Oreochromis niloticus: one gene and its partners. The protein of the gene in region 2 interacts with the protein of the main gene of each other region in a biochemical or structural test. Links are inferred from orthologs where the notes say so. Each region holds a gene or a part of one and is shown on either strand. Other genes may lie near its edges. The genes, in order: egln1a, fkbp8 and apoptosis regulator Bcl-2.

Region 1 (7,233 bases), on a different chromosome or scaffold from region 2:
TTAATAAATAATTATATTAAACAATCAAGATTATAATATTAACTAAAATCATTAAAAAAATGTTCACAGTCCAGCAGCTTTTATTTATTCTCAACCAAGAGAGCAGATATTTGTGATGGCTCCATCCACTCCATCAACTGTGTGACTACAAAGTTGGTTTATTTCTCTAATATTATAATAAAAGGCCCGTTGCTTTAGTGTTTTTTGCTTCTAGCCAGATTCAAAGTGATGTTGCTAAACTTCTAGTTAATAGTGACTATAGCTTTCAGAGAATTTCCCTCAGGAGAAGAGGAGGAAGAGGAGAAAGCCGGAAAGCACCTCGTCCTCTCCTGAAGCAGTCTCATGCTATAAGGCCATGGTGACCAGATCTGTCAAGAGTCGCAGGTCACACGCAACCATCTTTATCCACTAGACAGCACTAACAGTTAGGAAAAAACAAACCAGGTGCCAGGAGAGCTTCTGAACCCTAGCAGCTCAGCCTGAAAAAACGAGAACATCCGACAATTAAAAACAAGTTCTTAGAAAACACATTTTAGTGAAACAGAAGCTACCCACAGCTTCCTCTTCCCCCAGAAACACACAGGTTTTCTTCTCAGTATGGGAATGCTGCCTAACCAAATACGTCTGTGCGTGACACTGAACTTATCACCACAACCTGTCACCACTAAAGCGATGTCAGAGGTCATAGTGAGCCGCAGTAAATTCTCAGTAGAATGGGGCCTCGGGCTGGTTTCTGCCACATGGTTGCAGCTTCTTCACATCACTCACATTTTACCAAAAACAAAAGCTAAAGTACAAACATATGAATGCAATATATACACTCTGATGAGCTGGACTGTCTTTGCTGTTTGTGGATGTGGCAGCATGTGTTAGCTGTGTTAGTCGTCTCACTGGTCAGAATGACCTTCCTGAAACTAACGCAGTCTGTCACAACATAATAGCTCCGCTATTCACTGCTTACTAAGGTGCTTTCAGCGAAATCTGATCCCTGATTTGGAGACTGTGCTTTCTATATCTGATTCTTTCCCCATCACGTTTATTTTAAATAGAGCACCAAACATAATTAAACAGCTACGAAACACATCTAAAAACCAATAGTCATTCAAAATATGAACAATACACACTTAATGGAGGGAGGATTTTAGCAGTTTTTGTCTTAGGTGCATTTACTTTGCATAATAACTAAGAAACTGAGTGCAACCTGTAGAAGTGAGGACTGGATTTGAGCAGTAATCTATGGATAATATGGATTAAGGAATATATTCTGTAGGCATCAGAAAGCTCAAGTATTTACACATCTAATATACTTTTTTTTTTTTTTTTTAAATCATTTTAGGCTAGAATAAACAGTCCAGCATGGCATATGCTTGCAGCTGCTTGCTAGAAAAAGCCACGAGACAACAATGTGCCTCGTGCTTTGCTTTCATTAGATTTCAGCTGGATTTCATTTGATTCAAAGATGCTGCAGACACGTGATCTATCCAAATTTAGTCTTTCTTATTGGTTGAGGTATTGCGTTTATTTAAAGCAATGATTTGAGGGTGTCTTTCTATTGCCATGGCGACCGAACACGTGCGCTGTCTGTGCACACTCTTCATGCGTCCAAAACAAAACCATTAACATGTGAGCAGCACCAGCAATCACCTTTCTGACTCAGAGCAAAGCCAGAAGAGGACTCGGCAGCCTCTAACCCGCAAAGTCGAATCTAATTAGCAAACAGGGCTGATCTATTACACCTAATAGCACCTTAACGACAAAGTGGGAGGAAAAAAAGCTTCTGCAGAATGATGCATCCCTGTTAGAAATCTGTGGTACTTTTGATTTCATCCCCACGCAGCCAGAGTACTGCTGCTTTCCTGACCTTGTAGTGTGTGTGGCAGGTGTCACACCAGCAAGCCTCTGGCTCCTGGGGGATGAATGCAGTAGATGCGCAGTGTGCGCGTGTGCTTCGTACTTACCTTTGTTCTTCCATTTATCGTATAGTTTCCCAGTTTGCCATTACAATGTCTAATCAGGTCGTCCATGCGATTCATTAGAAATTGGATCCTCTCGCAGTGGGGCTCCTTGCCATCGATCCACGTGATTTTATCACCTCGGATGTCTTTAGTGGAGTCGCTCTTTTGACTCACCAGTTGACCGTCCGTGAACTTGCCAGTTTCGTACAGGGCCTTGACATTTTCAAGAATGCCCAGCCCGATCTCTGCTCCTAAAAAGTCGTCCACCACACAGATGCCGTGCTTATTCATGCACGGCACTATGCACTCCAAGGCAAGTTTCTGCGGGGATAAGCTGCTCTGTCCGTTAGGTGTGGCAGTGCTGTCAGACCTATTATGTTCAGCTCTCACTTCAATTCTCAGTGCTTTTGTGTTTGTACTTGTGTTTGCACTGTCCGCTTCCTCGGGGCTTTGCTCTTCTCGACATTTCTCAGGCGTCTCGTCGTCCCCAGGCTGCGGTGCCTGCTCGGGCTTCTGTGCAGGCAGCTGCGGCTTGTCCGCCTCCTTACAAATGAGCTTGTGTTTCTTCCAGTCCTGCTTCTGGTGCTCCTTGCTGCAGTAGAAGGAGCTGCGGCATCTACCGCACTTAAGAAGGTTATCAAACCTCCCGCAAAGTTCACAGTACTGTCGGTCTCGGTCCAGCTCGCTCTGCGGCTTCTCCATGTTTTGAGGATACAGGAGGCGTACTGCTCCTTTAATACCGATCCTTCACGCGCCTTGCTAATCGACAACTTTGGAAACGACCCGCCGCCGCTGCCACGCTGATACCCAGGGGAACCAAACACTCAAAACCCAGCCATTTTATCGCACTCATGTCCTTTTCTGCCTCGTGTGTCAGTGGAATAACACGACAACGTGCGCCCACGGACCAGCATTTAGGGGTGGGTCGAGGTCTTTGGGAGGCATTTCTGCAAGCTAGCTCTACTTCCCGGGGTAATGGATGGCGCCGCTCAGAGTGTGCTCAGCCAGCCCTGCCCGAGGACCGGCCCGCTCTGACGTCAGCACAAAGGCACCGCCTCTCTCGTGCTGCCTTCAGGTGCGGTCGGACAGACAGTTGGCGGTGAAAAAGTGGCGTGCTCGCGACACGTGGAAGTTCATGTTCAAGTCTTGTCGGGGGTATAAAGGGAGCATGCGCCTCTGGTCAGTCAGTAAAAAGTGATGTAAATATGTTACCCTATCTGTTTCAGTTATGCAATATATTCATGTTCTCTAACAGTGCAGAAAATTAGCTCCACCAACCATGCAGTAATAGGTATAAATAAAAATCCGACATGCAAAATGTGCAACAGACTGAAAGGACATAAATGCACTTTTATACTTTGAGTACACAATCCAGTATAATAGGTTATAAATCCAATGTTGCTTTCTTTATTACTTTCCCCAATACTGTAACACTGCAATACTGTGTAATGGCAAATTAAAGGTAGCGCTGTCATTTAAATTTGACGCAAACCGCTTACAGATTTGTGGAAAGGACAAGCAAAAGAGATATAGCCATATGGCAAGTGTTGCTTCAAGCATCACTGACTCGTTTTGTGCGCATTTCCTATCGAAGCAATAGTATCATATAGCCTAAATCATAAAGTAAGAAACCAGATTCTGATGAGCATTTGTCTACCTGAGTGTGGTTGTGCTGTTGTAATTATTCTATATTAAGCAAAAGAAGCATCTAAAAACCTGTGTCGTGCCAAAAAGTGATTTCTGTTATGTGCCAAAAAAATAATAATAAAAATAAAAACATAATTGGAGGTATTTACGTTGCTGCAAATGACTAATAATCTGCTAAACATACCACTCATGAATGATAGCAAATCGTTTTGAGCCCTGTCACCTTGTGATGTTAAGCAAGTCAAATATGTCGTTAAAATTAAAATGTCAAGAACTAACATCACACTTCTATAAAGATATTTTAATTGGCCAAAAGGGACTGGATTATAATCATGATGTTGATGCAATAAGATGGAGTCATAAAGATTTTTTGCAGAACAAGTCGTTTCTTCGTTTTATATATAACCCCTTCGTGACTCCTGTTGACTATAGTCTATTTATGAGAAAAAAGACATAATAAAAACAGAAGAATCGGAAACCAGTTTTTGGCACAAATCAGTTTGTAGGAGCTTGAAGGGAGCACCTGAAGGCATCTCCAGTCAGCAGCAATGTGTTGTGCTCTCATTCCTGGCTCGCATAGGTGAAATTCCTTTCGCACAAACAAAAAGTTAAAGAGCTTGCTGCTGTTATGATAGACAGATAAGTTGGGTGGTGTGCAGTTTATGAAACTTAGGATTGTGACAGACCGGTGACTTAAATCACTTACTGGAAGCCATAATGGATAACATTTTAAATTTTATGAAGCATGGAGATACTCATATAAATATTCTATGACAAACACCTGTCATTCATCACAACGATAAGTTACATTGTTTTGTTTTTTTCATCTGGGTCCTGGTCTCATTCCACAAATATAATATACACAAAACAATCATCCACAATGACACACCAAAGAGATGTAAAACGGTAGTAAAGAGACCAAATGTCAATACGAAGATGTAAAATGACTAAAATGAGACACAAAGTGAACTTAAAGAGATACAAAGTTACAACAATGACACATAGAAAATATAAATAAATAAAATAAATAAATACCCCAATTGTCACTCAAAATTAGATAGTAAACCCAAACGTGATGATATGTACATTTATCCCAAGAGAGTGGTTGTAAAAAGATGAAAGAAGTATCACAAGTGAAAAAACAACTTCTCGGTGATGTTAGATGACCACAGGGAGACACCAAATTTTAAATTGAGACGTGAAAATAATCATGAAAAATGAATGAAAACAAACGTATGCAGTAAGCATCACACAGCAGTGGCCAAGATTCAAAAAGATGCACAGATGGTTAACAGAAAACAATCACAAATCACATCTGCAGGGCATCCAGTAAAGACATTTCACTCATCTGTGGAAGAAGTCAGGGTGGAACTTTTTGTTGAAAAGACAAGTAATCTGCTAAACGTTGATTTAGATATTCGATGGAATATCTAAGATACCTGTTATTTTAGGTTGATAGTCTGGAGAATTTCTACGTTTGAATTTTGACTGGAAAGAGAAAGTTCTGTGTGGCACACCTTTCTTTTTAAATTTGGTATGGGAATATCTAATTAGTATACATGGCATCTTCAAGAACTTACCTAATAGTTATAACGTTTATAACGTCATAAAAAGCGATTATTATGTAATTATTATAAATGTAGCTATTATATGTTTGTATTGTTTTTAAGAAATTGTGTTATTATTATAAATGCAATTGTTATATAATTACGCCAGATATTTTCGCTACTTTCTAAAATCAGATTCTAATTATTTAAAAATTATTTAATTATTTAAAAATTAGTAATAAGGAAAACATTGTAATAAAACTAACTCCTGATTTTGCCATTTAACTACGTATCCCGTGATGCATCTCTTTGAATTTCCTGCTACGCGTGTAAACAGCGCAAAAGCCCCGCGATGGACTGAGGTCCGCACCAATGCCTGTTATTAAAACCAAGAAAACACCGTTTTATTCGCGTTAAAATATATGCAGGCTCTACTAATTTTGTTTTCCATCGTCCAGAGAACATTATTTTTTCTGCGTAAAGCGGAACTATTTTGTTCTTTGTTTGTAATAATGCTCAACCTTTACGTTTGACTGGCACTGGCGTTAGTGGTTAAAATACACCCCTAAAAACTGTGCACTACAACACCGAAGCTATGAATAAACGAGAAGGTAAGTCCAAGATTTCTTCCTTCTAGTTTCATGAGTTTTGTAATTAACTAGCGAGGCTAAAATAACAGTAGGACTAACATGTGATAGCGTTTTAACCTACCTACTCTGCCTAAGTCAGGTTAATGAAATCATTTCATGGTAGTAACAGAAGTAATAAAGTGCTAATCCTGTTCCATTAAAATATCTAAAGCACATACTAGTGCTTTATTTGTCTGGCCATTAGAAGTGGGAATCACGAGAAACCCCACAAGAGAATATCATCATAATACGTCACCTACGATACAATAGTATTGTGATTTTTTTTTAACGTTTTGCATTACGCTAAGTATCACATTTGTCTTTTTCAACTGCAGTGTATGCATCATTTTAAATAAAGTTAACTCACTTTCAATATTTTTTTGCTGCAAAAGCGAGATTATAATGCGTGCCAACACTGTCACTAAAATCTGCCATAAATGTTTCTATCAGTCTCCGATTGAATGGGGTCAAGTTGGCAATTACATGCAATCTGTACACTCACGCACTCAAACTCTGAGCAGCCATTTGGTCACTACAAGTTGCCATTGGCTGCTGAATGGGAAAAATCTCACCAGGCAGCCACTGTTGTTGTCATTTTTTTTGTACATACAAGAAATTTACTGTCCTATTTTATTTGTGTGACTGTCAAGCCAAGTGTGTCCAGTGTTTGATGTTTCTTCAAAGTGGTGCATGAGATGAGCCGTCTCATTTTTAGTATTCCTTAAGTATTTTAATTTATTTAATAAAATATTGATATTTGGTGTCCCTGTAGCGATACAAATTCACGATATTATGCTGTGTCCATATTTTTTCTCATCCCTACTGGCCATCAATCCAAGCAGGCGCTTAATAATTATAAGTAAAAAGGTGAATTTAGGCATTCTCTTCTTAAGATATCAACAGATCATGTCAGCTGTTGCAGGTTATATTTTGGGTCACTTGAATATTCCAACCACATTTTAAAGAGGGTTCTCTATTATTTTTATTTATTTATTTTTTTTTTTACTGCATTTCATTTGTCATTGTGGAATTCTGGGAGTTAGATTTATTGTATGTTTTTTCAATTTACCAAAAAGTCAGAGGCAGTTATTATTTAAAGACTATGACATCATCTCTACTGTCAGGTGAGGGGTGTTCACGGAGAAATGCAGATGCAGCACAGGAGCACGAAATGAGTGCCAACCCCTCGTCTGTCATGGCTGCCTTCAAAGGTAACAGCAGTATTCTCACTGCACTTTGCACCCAAATGGTTTCAATGTTATATTGCCTGCACTGAAACATTTCTCTGTGTATTTCAAGGTTTCCAACAGGAGCTCGACACCAAACATGACAAATATGAGCGTCTTGTTAAGATTAGTCGCGACGTCACAATTGAAAGCAAGAGAACCATATTTCTTCTGCACAGAGTGACCACGTAGGTGTTCTTAACAACAATATTCACCGCATAAATGAGTA
Region 2 (7,116 bases):
CCGACTCCCTCGCAGAAACACAGCATGCACACACACAAGCATGGACAAAAACACACATCATACCTTCTCTGGTGCATGGAGCCATTGCCGTAGCGTGATTAATGTCAGACTGTACCGTCACTGTGATCTGAAATTCCCTCACATTTTCTCTCTGGGCTGGGCTTCGCTCTGCTTGCTGAGTTTACTGACATACAGAATAAACTAGAAAGAGCTTTGTGTGTACTGTTTGCTGCTGAAGGCTGGTGGACTTGACATGGCATTTAGTTTAAGTAGCTGAACTGCTTTTATATTAAACTGGATAGTGGAACAAGTTAAATATAGTATTGGCTTATCTTTTCTCCCTTGCTCTCTTTTTTTCTCTCTTTACAGTATTCACCCAACATGACGATGAGTGTGTGATTTTTTTTTTTTTTTAATCTTTTATTTTATTTTACTTTTTCATCTCCCTTTATCTCAACCTCCCTTTCCCGTCCACCCTGATGCGTCTTGCATTACCCTCCTCCTCTTCCTCCTATTCGTGGATGGTGTGCTGTGCCACACAGCCCCTGGGGATTCCCCTGGAAAGCAGGATTCCCCTCAAGGCCCCCCATCCCACCAACACCTCCAAACTAGGTGTAAGAACATGAAAAGGCCTCCGAGCAGCAGGAAGGATCTCGTCTTCGCCCCATCGAGGGTCCGAGCGCCGCGAGACCCCGAACCTGCCCCAAGCCTGTCTTTCTCGAACCTGAAATCTGCCTTTGTGGGTGACGTCCAGGCCCAATCGAGACGCCCCTCCGCATTCAGCTCCGCCCCGCCGTCACCCTGTTCTCACATCAAGCTGATTAAAACTGACGAGGGCGCGCAGCAGTCCTCCGACCCGGGGCCAAGAGCCCTCATTTTAAAAGCTCTGCTCCTGTGACAGGATTGGTTAAAAAAGATGAACTGATGATGTCATTTTGGGGCGTGAACGGTTTTCATTCAGTGTTTGTATTTTTTGTTGTTGCTGATATTATTGTTCTAATTTTCATAATTGATATCGTTTGACTAATGTAGTTATGATTTCCTGTAAAGGGCACATTTTCTCTCAGCAGCAGCGTCGACGGTGACAGAATAAGCACACGCTCGTAAAATGCACAATGATTTTCTGTTTATGTGATTTGATTTGTTGTTTGTCTCGTTTCTGCCACCGTCAGCCTCGCGTCACAAAACTCCTTTAGTGTTTGCCTCCTAAATGTGTTCCCCAAACTTCACGGGAAGAGTATCTGGGTAACCGAGGTGGGTTTTCAGGTACAGTGTGTCTGTAGATGCACCTGACGATCACACGTCTAACTGTACTGTCTTAAAAAGTAACCCTTCTCCTAGCTTCCTGCTCTTTTGCTGGTAGAAAATGGCTCCGATGACACCCTGACGTGATTGTCAGGATTGTCAGGTGCCATTTTTAATTCAGAAATTTTGTGAATCCACTCGTCTCCTCTACGGATTGGGTCTTTTCTTTAAATGTAACATATTTAGCTTGTACTGTGTTTTCTTTTCTTTCTTTTTTTTAATTATTTGTTATTTACAAGTCGTCTGTGACTCCTGGAACGTGTTTCCTTACCCTTCATCCTCTTGCTTTGTTTGATTTCACTGCTTTTATGGACTCCAAGTGGCCCCTTTTTCCTCCCAGGATTCATTCTGGTCCATCCAGCGACTCCTTTTGGGCTGGAAGCAAATGTGGGAGACACTCGTTTGGGTTGAAATCACAAATCCTGCTGGGTCCACCTTCTTAACTGTGGGTTAAATACCTGCCTCTGTGGAGTTCCCATCAGAGAGTCCCATATGCGCGGGATAATGGACCCGGGTGAGCGGCAGTGGGAGCGCTGATGATGGGAGCAGAGTTGATTGTAAACCATCTAAAGAAGAGGATTACCTGCAATCAATAAGTTTCTATTTTTTTTTTAATTTCAATTGTATGGAATTGATTAAAAAAATAAAGCCCATAGAATCTGCACACAGACATGTCACAGTCACACAGTACGCTATTTAATTTGTTTCTGATGAACGCTCGCTGTCACCGGTTCAGAGGGTAAACTGTTTCTTTCAGTTGCTTCGCAGCTGTTTTCAAACCAACAATAACTGAGCAACCAGCGTTGCCTCTATGGGTGGTGGTGATGTACTTATCGATTTCCTGATATCAATGTGAACAGTTTGTACGCAGCGTTAAACAGGGACATCTCCAGGGTCTGGGCATCGGTGGCCTGGGGATCACTCAGTCCGGTGTTCCTCCTATGTAGTGACACACGCCTCCCCCACCCCTCCCCCTCCTTCCACACCCCTCACCCTTTGATTTCCCTTTTTGTAAATACTGTATAATGCATTTTGATATCATTGACATGTTTTGATATGTCAGTCACTACCAATGAATACAGCTGAAAGTAAATTATAAATAGATCTGTCCATGTTTTTCATAGTGAAAGGATGCACTATTTGGCTCATGTGGCTAAATTTCTAGAATACAGTAAATATGGCTAAATGTATAGAATACATTGACACACTTAATGCAGACCGTACGCTAAAGGCGTGCGTGGCGGGGAGGACGGGACAGAGAGGAGCAAAGAGCCGCGGCGTCCTCGCTCTGCCCTCCACTCCTCGTGTTTCGGTTTTGAAAAATCATGTGAATAGTTTTTCCAGAAAAACGACAAAAAAGGGCATCTTCTCACAAAAAAAAACATGTGACCTCATATTGCAGTTTTTAATATGAAGGATTTTTATCAATTTAAGAAACTTTTAAAAAGGAAAAAATACTTAAGGAAACCTCATTTTAAATTAAGAAGATCAAAATGTAATACTTATGGGGAAAACTGTGTCCTTTGCTATTCGCTCCTGTAATAGCGTTGTATAGTTTGAAGCTCTCTCACTGATCCTCTCTCAGTCCTCTGTGTATATCGATCGTCGGCCATCTCTGTACTTCTATTGTGATGTATAATACTGTACCATTAGGAAGATTTGCTGGTCGGGCGGGGGGGTTGTATTGAGACGGGGAGGGGTGGGGAATCGGGGTAAGGGCGTATAACGATTCTCCTGTACCGTTCACGGTCCTTTCTGATGACACGGCAGTATTCAATATGAAGCAGTCTGTCTCTTGGGTTTGCTTTGTATTTCATGGTAGGATAGTTCAGAATCTTGTCTTAGGGACTTAGGTGTCTTGTGTAGGTAATAAAGATGTTCTTTGTATGTTTCTTTATATTGTAAAGTTTCTTTAGACTGAAAGAAAAACAGATAATTTGCTTATCAAAAAAGAAACAATGCATCAATAATAAATGTCATTTGATTTTTCCTTGTTGTTTGACTCTCTCTCCCTCTTAGCGCTCATTTAACTCATCTTCCATATAGTCTCGGGCAATCGCTCTTGAGTCATCCCTCGTTTCTTCATATTTTGCTTCCAAAGAGCTGGGCTTATCATTGTTTTGCAAGTGCGCTTGGGCAATAGTCCTGCGGGCTTTCTGAAGAATTTTCTACGTTTTTCTTTTGACATTGTCTGCACAGATGATTCATTCAAGAGAATCCAGGCTGTGCTGAAGAATATAGGTGGTCACACCAGATACTTTAAAGCCTCTTCTGTACTGTATTTCCATCTGTTTTCTACATGTTTTAATAAGGTGCTGCAGTTATTTCCCATTAACCAAGCCCAAGGAGTGACTCAAGACTTTTGCTTGTTCGTGATGATGTTAATCAGTAAAAACATATTTCCACTGGAAACATATTTTTCCTGGAAAACTTTACATCAGCATTGTTTATTTGTGTTTGGATGAAACACATGTCTAGCCATGGTGAATATGTAAATCACAGTTTTAAAATCATTTTTCAGAATAAATCAAAACATTAGAGAGCTGCACACAAAGTCTTCATGTGTAAATTCACCCCTTAAATCACTGATACAAACTGTTTGTTTGTTTTTTTAATTTAATACATTTTGAGTGTTCTTAGCTTTCAGTGTGCTCATCGGTGTTTTAAACTAGCAAAAATAAGTCATTTTATATCATTACAAATAGCAGCTGCAGGCGTACATGGCTGCCTCTGAGGTAAATTATGAATAAGCATGAAACATCCAATAAACGTGCAGGGTCTCAAGGTTAACAGGAAGCAGCCTGCTTGGGGCTGTTAACAGATCGTGGCGAAGTCAGGTTGATATTGGCATGCAGCGACACATCCAGGTCTCACTGGCTTCATGTTCTCCGACAGCAACCTAACTTCAGCACTGCGAGCTAAAGGAGACTGCTCAGAACCAAAACACGGCTCTTCACAGACAATTTCGGGGTAAGCATCCGGTTATTTTGATACAGGCTTTTTATTATAAAATCCCTAACTCTGACTCACTCCACCGGGGATCGGTATAAGCAGTGATAAACACTCAGAGACAGTAAAAAAATTGCTAATTTAATGCTGACAACTAGCAGCTAGCTAGCTGTACATCCTCGGCTAACGTGTGCTAGCAGCAGCCTGCCATCCGTGTGGGAACACATGACAGCAGGGCAACTTGTTAGAAACTTCTGGAAACGTCTGGTGGGCTTTCTTGCTGTAGAACAACAGTTAACAGGTAATGTTGAGGTGAAATCGCATCACGTCACGCCAAAATCGATTAATAATCCTGATCGATTCAGAGCGAAAGCAGGTTTTATTTCAGTGCTGTTAGCCTGTAACAAGCTCAGTGGTGCGTGACTGACAGGGGATCTTTAAACACTGTTTTGAGCTTTAATTTGAATTGGACTCCGTGTTTTGGAAGGGCACACGCATTAAGAGTTAAGCAAAGGATCATTTTTGACGTTGTCTCCCGTCTTTTTTTTTTTTCTTTTTTTTTTTTTTACCAGAGGGGTCTGCTAATGACTGACAGAGAGGAGATTATGGAGTCGGATAGCCACGATAATGCGCAATCAGCAAAGAAGAACAGCAAAACGTCGCTGCTGGACAGCGGAGAAGACTTCGAAGTTTTAGATGAGGAAGACATTGACGACGACGAGCCGCCTCCTCTGGAAGATGTCGGGGAAGGGAAGGTGCAACCCACAAATCCAGAAAATACAAACCCCGACCCTACAGGTCAAGTCGATGAATGGCTGGATGTTTTGGGTATGTAGGACCCATGATGTGCTCCACAGCAGTGTAGGCTGTGCTGCACTTTGCTTGATTAGTGATGGGCATTGAGCCTGATATGGACAGTGGTCAGTGTTGTACATGTGACTGTGTCTGATTCCAGGTAACGGGCAGTTGAAGAAAAAAGTCCTGAAGGAAGGCGAAGGGCGAGACAGTCGACCACAGAAAGGACAGAATGTGAAAATCCGTCTTAAAACGAGCCTGGTGGACGGGACTGTCGTAGAGGAGAAGCCTGATCTTGCTTTCACTTTGGGAGATGGTGATGTAATCCAGGTAAAGACCTGTTAGATTAGTTTATTAATGCTCTTTGCGGAAGTTTGTGTGCAGAGTTTGCACACTTCATGTGTGATTCCTTAATTTTCTGAAGAGAGCTTTTCTTCTTTTCAGGCACTGGATCTGACAGTCCAGCTCATGGCGATGGGAGAGGAGGCACTCATCCAGACTGATGCCAAATATGCATATGGTGCCAGAGGAAGGTAAGGAAGTGTTTGAGGCTGTTTTTCCATGTTGTTATTTTTTGTATTCAAGTTTAATAATGGCCCTCTCACAATGCTAATTCATTTAAAAGTGGGTTTCAGTTCTCTGTCTTGTCCACTTACCTAATGAAGCTTTAGTGACTTTCTGATCACACTTTGGAGAGCACAGGTCTTGGCTTGTGCCACTGTTTCTCACAGTAGTTTCTAGAGTTAAGTGTGGGTTATCGTGGCCGATAAGGCTGTATCGGCACATAGCTAATATTAGCCGATCTGTTGGCGTGGTTCTAGTTAGAGGTTACAAAATGGTTTATCATGAGCTTTATCTTAACCAATTAAAACAGAAGAATCCTTCTACAGCGATGCATAACAATAATAATCTCATGTTGGTTTAATATTATAACAGGAACAGGGAAAACCCAACAATCAAACAACAAAAATCAAAAAGTAATTACCCCCTAAACCTGATAACTGGCTTTTCCACCACCAGGCATTTGTGATGCCTTCAGTGAGTCTTTCACATCACTGTGGAGGAACTTAAGCCCACTCTTCTTTGCAGAAATGCTTTAATTCAGACACACTGGAGGGTTTTCCAGCATGAACGCCTGTTTAAGATCACGCTGAAGCAGCTCAGTCCAGACTTTGACTCGGACACTCCAAAACATTCATTTAGTCTTTCTGAGCCAATCAGAGGTGGACTTGCTGCTGTGTATGGATCATTGCTCTGCTCCCTGATTTCGCTTGAGCTTTGGGACATGAAGTGATTTGCGGACATCCTCCTTCCGGTATGGAGCAGAATTCATTGTTCCCTCAGTTACAGCGAGTCGTCCTGGAGCAGCAGAGCCGCCCAGACCATCACACTACCAGCACTGTGTCCACCTGCTGCTGGGATGTTCTCTTTATGAAACGCTGTTAGTCTGATGCAGATGTAACAGGACTCAAACCTTCCAGAAAGTTCATCTTCTGTCTCATCAGTCAGAAGATTTTCCCAGGAGTCTCTGGGGTCATCCTGCTGTTTGTTGGCAGATGTGAGATGAGCCTTTGTGATCTTCTTGGTCAGCAGTGGTGTTCTCCTTAGGCTCTCCCACTGAGGCCATTTTTGCCCAGTCTCTTTCTTATGATTGAGTCATGACCTCTGACCTTAACAAAGCCAGACGAGGCCTGCAGGTCATCAGATATTGTTCTGGTTCTTCTGTGACCTCCTGGGTGAATTTTGGTGGGCCGGTCACTCCTGTGAAGGTTCAGCACTGTTCCCAGTTTCTCATGTGCGGATAATGGATCTCACTGTGGTTCACTGGAGTCCCAGAGCCTCAGAAATGTCCCTGTAATCTTTTCCAGACTGATGGATGTCAGTGATTTTGTTTCTCAGCTGTTTCTTTAGATCTTTTAGCCTGCGTCACTTTGTCAGACAGCTTCTATTTAAGTGATTCAGCAGGACTGACAGCGATCAGGCCACAGTTCATTTATCATTTAACAAGGGGAACGGTTACTTTTTTTACACAGGGCAGGTAGGTTTAGATAGATTTTTTTTCCCTTA
Region 3 (7,950 bases), on a different chromosome or scaffold from region 2:
TCTCTGTATATCCTCTGTGAATTCATAATTCAGGAAGAGGCCAGAACAAAATCAACCCAATGTTTAGCAGACATTCTCAAAAACATACAAAAACACAAACACGTCAGTGTAAAACAGGCCGTCGTTTCGGCTCCAGAGGAGACAAAACATAGCAAAAAACCCCCAGCTTTGTTTCACAGACTGAAAACACAGTTGACTTTTATTACATTTCAACATCTGCAAAGCCAGTTTTCACAAACCCAATCCAGAGTACAGACAACGCTGTGTTTGCAACGTCAGTTATTAAAGGTCATGCAATAACTGAAGCACACACCTCAGGAAATTCCCTACCTGACACCCGTTCAGATGAATATAAATCAACACCGGTGCATGGCTGCATATGCGGAAGCTACAACAGAAACTGAGCTAACACTAACATATTCAGGATTAAACTGTTTTAGAGCCTACTTTGAGCTTAAAACTAATTGGATGAGGTTATTCATTCCCCATACTGCAGACATATGCTTTCAAATAATCCTAAATAATCCTTTGGATTAAAGAACTGTGCTCTTGCTCTCTCTCTCTCTCTCTCTGTCTGTCTCTCTCCAGTGGATGCACAGATACAGTCATCTCCACCCAGCTGTAAAACCCAAACTATGATGACCTACATTATTCTACAGTGGGCTCCAGAGACCCCGAGCAGGCATCTCTGCGGCCCCAGTCTGCGCCAGCTTCAAGGCACAGGTCTGAAAAAGGCAGACAAAAGAGTCCCAACCAAGATGCAAACAGAGGACGGCATGTTAAACACAGTGGCTGCAGATTAGCACTCTGTGTTCTTGGAGGGCCCTCCCTCTGTTGCCTCCCTTTGATATGTGGCACAACCTGCCACCTCCAGGGGCAAGGCAGACTCAAGGGGAATGTTAAACGGTCCTATCCTTTGAGATGAAACATTCGATATGAATCATTGATAAGCCCACTCAACACACGCCCCGTTTTTATGATACCTTCCAGCTAAGATAACCAGGCAGTGCAAACGTTATGCTCTCATTAAGAGCACCTCGGCTAATTAAAGGTTAATTCATTGCAAGTCAGTTTTGGTGACTACTGAGGTGCACAGCAACCCCCCTTTTTTCTTGCAGGAGAGTTTGCAGCTGTAACAAAAACCTGAAAAATGAATATGACAATGCATGCTTGTTTCAGATTCAGTGTGGGCATGCATTCAGCCAGGTGTGTGTTGTGCCAAAAAAAGGCCTCTGATAAGCTGAACCCTGTCCAGTTATGCCCAGAGGCCTAAACACATTAATTCAATAGTTTGCTCTTTGCTGACATGTGTCTGACCTCCTCCCTTCTGCAAGAATGAGGGCCTGCAATGCATCACGTGACAGCGGGACTGAAGCACTTTCGTGCATGAAGATTCAGATACAGGTGGATGGTGAAATGGCCTCTCTCTCCAACACCACACGCAGAATCCTGTTTCTTTTTATAACTAAGCTTTTACTTCCCCTTAGATAATAACCCCTGTGCTCCAATGACAGCTGCGCGTCTGCCTCTGCTCCTACAGTTGACAGGGCGGGTTTTTTATAGAGAGGCGTCGGGAGGTGTGATAGAGAAACCGCTGTTTGATTGGTCGAGTAAGTTTAACAGTCAACGAGATCAGCCAGTTAGAGCAAGTAAAGTAAAGCCGTTCATCTCGCTCGTTGCCTGTCGTGCGTCACGAGATCATCTTAAAAGGGACTTTTCTTTTTTTAATGATCAGCTACACATGTGGTTTCGATATTGAGCCCCGTTAAGCCAGATCAAAATGCACTTTTCAGCTCAATCAAACGTGTAGGCCTACACTGACCGAACTCACTCACTGAAATTCCTTTTAATCACAGTTAAAAGAGGACTTTTGCGAACCCTTGGCACACTGCTGCAAAGCGCTCAACTACACGGAATCAGACATACCCATCCCCCGTTATCTTGTATCCAGCTGTTAAGAGGTCCATTTAAATACTCCGTCATCCAGTCTGCGATGTTGTCCACCTGGGATGACATCCCCTCGTTGGAAGCGCACTCCACGCACACCGTGCCCCCAAACTCGAAGAAAGCAATAATCCGGCCCCAGTTCACTCCGTCCCGGAACAGTTCGTCTATCACCTCGGCGAACCTCCTCTGCGCCGTGGCGGAGGTGAGATGCAGCTGCCGCGACATCTCCGTGAAGTCCGGCTGGTACAGTCTTTCAAGTTCATCTCCAGCCTCGCGCAGGACTCTGTGGATGCCTGCGTGTGGGTCGGACTGTGGGAGCCGTCTGCAGAGGTGGGTGTTGCTCTCGCCGTCAGGCCCGGTGCTGGCTTCTCGGCACCGGTGGACCAAAGTCGGTGGAGGGTCAGTTATCGATCCGTTATTAGCAGCATCTTCTTCTTGGACAACGCGAAATCCCCACACGTATCCCCGCTTGGAGAGTTTATGGCAGATATACTTTTCCACAATATTGCGATTATACTCGTTCGCCATTCCGGCTCAAATTTGGCACTTTGTATATCCAGTGGTTATCCTAAATAAAATGCATTTTGACCAAATGTGTGCACCGTACAATGCTCTGCACAGGCTCGTCCAAAAAGCTGGGGCTGTATTCAAATAGATAATGCAGCGAATTATCCCACACAGAGAGGAGATACTTTACTCGTGAACTCGGGGAAAATCCCTTGAAGAAAACTGCACAGAAACACGCACTAGAAGTCAAAACAGGCTGGTTCCGTGTCAGCAGCAGTCTTCATTTCCCGAATCCTTGGAGGGACACTGGCGACCTTCTCTTTGCATAGAAATCCAATATGCGGAAGAGGTTGGGAGTAGTGTTGTTCTATTTCTGTGCACATCACCCAGACGTGGATGTGTTGCGATTAAAAAAAAAATATGAATGAAAGCCAAAGTTGTTCACGCCTGAAGGGGTTTTAAAGGCGGCCAACTGTTTTAGCAGCCTTACGCACGAACCAGACGCGGGACTGTGCGCCAGACAAGGTCGGACTGGAGTCCTCTTCCACGATTGCTCCACATATCCTCCGAAGCAGCTCCCTGTTCACCGCTAGTGGGCCGCACTGTTTAGTGAGGTATGCCTGACGTCAGCTGCGGAAAGTCTTTCCTTTGGCTGCTCCAAGTGCACACCAAGAACTGCGCTCAAACCATTTATAGGCCATATTATTATTACTGCATACTGCGTCCTCGTTTTAAGGCAGACCACGTTACCCAGAAAATTATATAAACAAGAATATTTTTAAGATTTAGATATTTTTTATGATAGAAGACAGAAATCTTAAAAGATCACAGGGTTAGGGGCAGAGGACCACCCCAGCGAGGGATTGCTTTGATGTAGTCCAGCCACCCCCTTGTGGACACAGACCTTACAAGTGCAAAACTGATGCACCACTCTACATTTTCCCTGTCTTCTTTAAACTTTTCTCATCTTTTTTAAAGCATCTCCCCTATTTGTCATCTACTTATTCTCCAACAGGTCTAACGAAGCATCTAAAGTCCTGCACTCTGCAAACCCGAGAGCTGCTGCTGCTTCGGGAAGTTCCCTTATGAAAAAATTAAATGTCATCCTCTATCAAACAGAATACTTAACGTCCTCAGTCCTCCACAAACCCTGCACTGTCAAAACTTATGAACCTCGATCATACTGAGATTAATTTAATTCCCCCCCCCTCTTAAGGCAAGTTCAGTCTAAGAGGTCTGGAGCAATTTAAGAAGAGACAAGGACACCCAGGAGTAAAAGGATTTAGGTTTTCTTCACAGGTATTTATTTAGTTTATCATGTAAGAAAATAAGACAAAGAAATGTTCCACTCCTCACATTTTCTTTCAATGGCACACAAGGTGAAGGTGTTAAGCTTTTTTGGCAGAAAGAGTATAAAGCAAAGAAAACAGAAAAAAAGCGTGAAACCAAAGAGTGCAGTATGACATGTTCAAGACTTTTAAATCCATTGAGCATCCGACAATGACACCATTAAACGAGGGAAACTAGCGTGACTCTTACAGAACTTAAATCTTTACTGTATGTTTAAACATATTGTTAGCAGAGGCTTGATTTGCATAGCTTAAAGTTGTGTTAGTGAAAACAAAACTGCTTTTACATGAGCTACATGTTCTATCCATCAATGTGTTGCTACCTCAAGGTAAAAAAAAAAAAAAAAAAGAAAAACCTTCTTAAAGCAATAAATGTACATTTATGGAAAGCTCTGAAGTGCGGGACAGTACGCCTTTAACCAATATCAAATGAGAACATCATCAAACATGAGTCATCCATTCTCACTTTCATGTCTTGGATTTCAGTAAGGCTTCTTTTGTCATAGAAACACTAGAAATTGACCAAACACACACAAACACACAAAACCCCCCAAACAGTTGGCATTTCACACCAAATAAGTCACAAAAAAAAAAAAAAAAAAAAAAAAAAAAATCACCCGGTAAACCAATCATCCACTAATGTATGAAGTCACATTGTTCTGCGGACGGGTCCACTCTCATAGCGTTCGCTTCATCAGTAGTCACGTCTTAAGGCTGTAGAATGGGCCACATGCTGCTATCCAGCTTTTATTAAGTAACACTAAGATCAAAAGAGCAGCGACATCAAAATAAACCACAAAGAAATGTGCTGCGATCTCAAGAAATTGTCTTAACACATTTTGGCATTCAAATATTGGTGTATTTAAAAAATAATGTTCCTACGTTCTGATTCGTATCGCTTTGCTATAAAGTACATTCTCTCCGACTGGACCAAAGGAAGACTTGCAAGAGTCAACATTGTATTTTCTTCTTCCTTTTGCATCCAAAACAATAAGAAAGTCAGATGGTAACTAAGAGTTGACACAAATCAGAAGGGAATCGATATTTTGTAATCTAGAGAGTTTTGAAGTCCCAGCAGTGCACGACAGCGTCAGTGCATGTAAAAAACAAAACAACACAACAACAAAAAAAGAGCATCGTAGAGATGAGGGATAACACTTCCACTCTTGTTCCTCCAAAAGTTTGGCCATTATATAAGATGACTCACCAGCGCCCTCACTAGACGTACAGAGACATGACTCGATCCAGCGAGTCGCGCCCATCTCTGAGTTACACCAACCTGACAGATTATGCATCTTCACTGGGGGTGGCTGAGAATGTGCACTGACACACAAAACTGCAAGTAAAAAATGATACGCTTCATGCTTCCTTTAGCAACTTATTAGTGTTTTTTGTTTGTTTTTTTTAAATTAAACTGACAAGTGCACGAGTGAAACTTAAAATTATGTGCTGGTTTATTTGTTTGTGTATCCCCTCCCACCCTAATCTTACGACTTCATGGCTTCAACCCATAGTACCTGCTTTACTTTCTTCATTTAGCTGGAATGACGAGGAAAACGTTTTTGCTGTCTTTATTCCCGAGACAAAAACTTTGAATGGCTTTACTCTTTCCGGAGGTGGTCGGCTCAGTCACAGCAAACACACTTTCACATCACACGGTTTTCAGCGACAACGCTGCATGTAAAGTTTTGGAATATTATCACTATTATTAATAATAATGATAATATGTGGAGATTATTTTATGCATTATAGATTTAAAAAAATTAAAGACAAACATAACAAGCTCTCTCCTGCCCTTTGATATCACTGAAGAGTACTGTCGTATAATGTATGACCTCAGTTCACGCACAAACACAAACAAAAATATCCTGCAGCATAAACAAAACACTGTGGGTCACGACCGCTTTTAAACACAGAGGTTATTCAGTCAAAGAAAAAAAAAAAAAAAAAAAAAAAGAGAGAGAGAAAAAAGGGAAGGATCTTTGCCTGCAAAGACCTGAAGTATGTAAAAGGTGGGAAAGAAAGGGCTTATATAGTGAAAACTGTAAAAACTCTCTAAAAGATGGAAATCTCTGATACATGCGGCACAATATGATGAAAAAGAGAGTAACAACTATTCTGTTTTCGCTATAGCCTCTGGTGGGGAAAAAAAAAAAAAAATTCAGGCCATATTTGGCACAACCGGTTAGACGGGCTGTTGCTTTTCTTCTCTGTGGGAACAAAAAAAAAAAAAAAAAAAAACCCAGGCTGTGGGATTTTTAGTCACCCCTCTTTCCTCTAAAGTAAGGCTGCTTCCACAAAAAGAAGCAGGTGGACACATTAAACTGAAGTCACCAGGGGAGAAAAAAATACATCTAAATGGCTATCAAGTCTGTGGAGTAGACACGTAAACATCTGCCACTTTCTTCCATTCCATCTGCTAAAGTTGACATCAGAAATGCTGACATGGCCTTTTATTTTTCAAACCCCACCCCCACCTATGGTTGTGCACTTGTACAGCTGGAGGAAGGGACTGGCTGGGAGGGCAGTGGGTAAAGGGTTGGGGGCATCGGGGTGTGGTGAAGGTAAGGCTGCAGTTACTCCCTCTTATTGGCCGCTTTTGACTGCTCCCTTTGAATCATACAGCGGCGCACGATGCTGTCAAAGCTCCCCAGGTAAAAAAGTGCGATGGTCCGAAACAATCCCATGGTGACAATCTGTGCGGGAATTTCAAAATAAAAAGGTTAGGCTTAAAATTGCAGATCTGCTGAGGAACGCTGCCTCCTGCAATTTCATATCATGTACAGGGCTGTACCTGCTGGAGACCCTCTGTGATGGAGGTGACGGGTGACATTCCACAGGTGAGCGCTGATAGCATGTAACCATCTGGACCGACAGAGCTGTTGAAGTTCCCCTGCTGTGAGATGAAAGAAAAACAAGCAGATACATTTGCCAAAGGAAAAAACAAACAAAATACAGAGCACACATCTTATTTTTAAACTGGGCACTGAATGTGATTCGAGCTTCTTACCACTGCATCCCTGACAATGATTTTGGCCACTTGGTCTGGTTGACAAACTCCAGAGGTTTCAGAGATTAATTTGGTCTCCAGAGGCTGGGAGAGGAAAGCGGATAAAGAGGGAGAGAGGGAGAGAGGGGTGGGGGTACGACCACAAGCATTTAAGCAGCAATAAAATTTACATAAAAAAAACAGGAAGTAAGAAAAGGACGTATTTCTCTGTACTGTTGCATACTTTTGTCTTGTTCTCTTCAGCCAGTCCTGGAGTGTCAGTGTCAGGGGGGTATGCCACAGTCACGTAGATATTGTAGGGTTTTATCTGCAGAAGGAAAACAAAGCAATAACTGCCTTAGCAATTCCACTACTGAGACCATGACAACTAACTACATACGTTAACATTTCAACAGCTCTTTGACAATAAAAGTTCGCCTGAATGCTACCTATACGTAGAAAAAGTATAATCATTACAGCACTGACGCTAGTGAAATGTCCTTTATCATCATCTTCACTCAAGCTGCAAACACACTGCAAGAGATATGCTTGTTGCATATGATGGCTGGGTGCTTGTGGACACTCCAGGCTCTGGCTGTTTAGGTGAACCTCTAATGCATTTATTCCCAGATCAAATGTCATTCTCCTTGGTAGTCGCTTCAGTTGAAGGAAATTGAGAAAAGTTTATCTTCAGTCCTGCCTACTTCTGGTCGTGGAATGTCGTTCGTATTCTATGCTAAGGAATGCTAAGAATTGCTTCAAGCATGTATGTAGGCCATTTTTGCAAAACACATACCTCCATCTGCAGTGACTCTGCAAGGCCTCGCAGGGCAAACTTAGATGGGGAGTAGGCAGTGTAACCAAACAGACCAATCTGGCCCGCCTGGGAGGAAACGAACATGATGCGGCCCATTCTTCGCTCCTTCATGGTGGTTATGACGGCTCGTGTTGGGTAAACGCTGCCCAGGTAGTTCACTTCCATCAATTTCTAGAAACGAAGGCTACATTAATACATACTATAACCAGAGTGTCCATGGTACATTACATTATTGTAGGCAGCTTCAGTCACTTTAAAACCTGAGCAGTTCACAGTGTCTTGATTCACAGCAGGCCATAAATTTAGCCACTTCTTCAAAAATTCTGACGATTTCTTACCAA

What was found.
Region 1: the proteins of fkbp8 (region 2) and egln1a form a complex in vitro, tested with the Homo sapiens proteins (2 studies listed by BioGRID, with this or other methods). The link is inferred for Oreochromis niloticus from reciprocal best matches to the Homo sapiens genes FKBP8 and EGLN1.
Region 3: the proteins of fkbp8 (region 2) and apoptosis regulator Bcl-2 form a complex in vitro, tested with the Homo sapiens proteins (4 studies listed by BioGRID, with this or other methods). The link is inferred for Oreochromis niloticus from reciprocal best matches to the Homo sapiens genes FKBP8 and BCL2.

The regions. Positions count from the first base shown.
Region 1 is NC_031978.2:23,833,351-23,840,583, forward strand, and holds the start of egln1a (egl nine homolog 1), read right to left. Parts: upstream 3,005-7,233; 5' UTR 2,658-3,004; coding exon 1,959-2,657; intron 1-1,958. Other genes in the region: tsnax (translin-associated protein X), read left to right, coding at 5,745-5,760, 6,903-6,989, 7,078-7,192. UniProt on the Homo sapiens protein: Cellular oxygen sensor that catalyzes, under normoxic conditions, the post-translational formation of 4-hydroxyproline in hypoxia-inducible factor (HIF) alpha proteins.
Region 2 is NC_031986.2:34,623,158-34,630,273, reverse strand, and holds the start of fkbp8 (peptidyl-prolyl cis-trans isomerase FKBP8), read left to right. Parts: upstream 1-4,102; 5' UTR 4,103-4,275; intron 4,276-4,336; exon of another isoform or gene 4,337-4,555; intron 4,556-4,826; 5' UTR 4,827-4,838; coding exon 4,839-5,082; intron 5,083-5,209; coding exon 5,210-5,379; intron 5,380-5,493; coding exon 5,494-5,582; intron 5,583-7,116. Other genes in the region: ssbp4 (single-stranded DNA-binding protein 4), read left to right, coding at 370-399. UniProt on the Homo sapiens protein: Constitutively inactive PPiase, which becomes active when bound to calmodulin and calcium. Seems to act as a chaperone for BCL2, targets it to the mitochondria and modulates its phosphorylation state.
Region 3 is NC_031982.2:16,825,699-16,833,648, forward strand, and holds the start of apoptosis regulator Bcl-2, read right to left. Parts: upstream 3,104-7,950; 5' UTR 2,476-3,103; coding exon 1,927-2,475; intron 1-1,926. Other genes in the region: kdsr (3-dehydrosphinganine reductase), read right to left, coding at 6,380-6,499, 6,598-6,699, 6,814-6,897, 7,037-7,120, 7,589-7,780. UniProt on the Homo sapiens protein: Suppresses apoptosis in a variety of cell systems including factor-dependent lymphohematopoietic and neural cells. Regulates cell death by controlling the mitochondrial membrane permeability. Appears to function in a feedback loop system with caspases.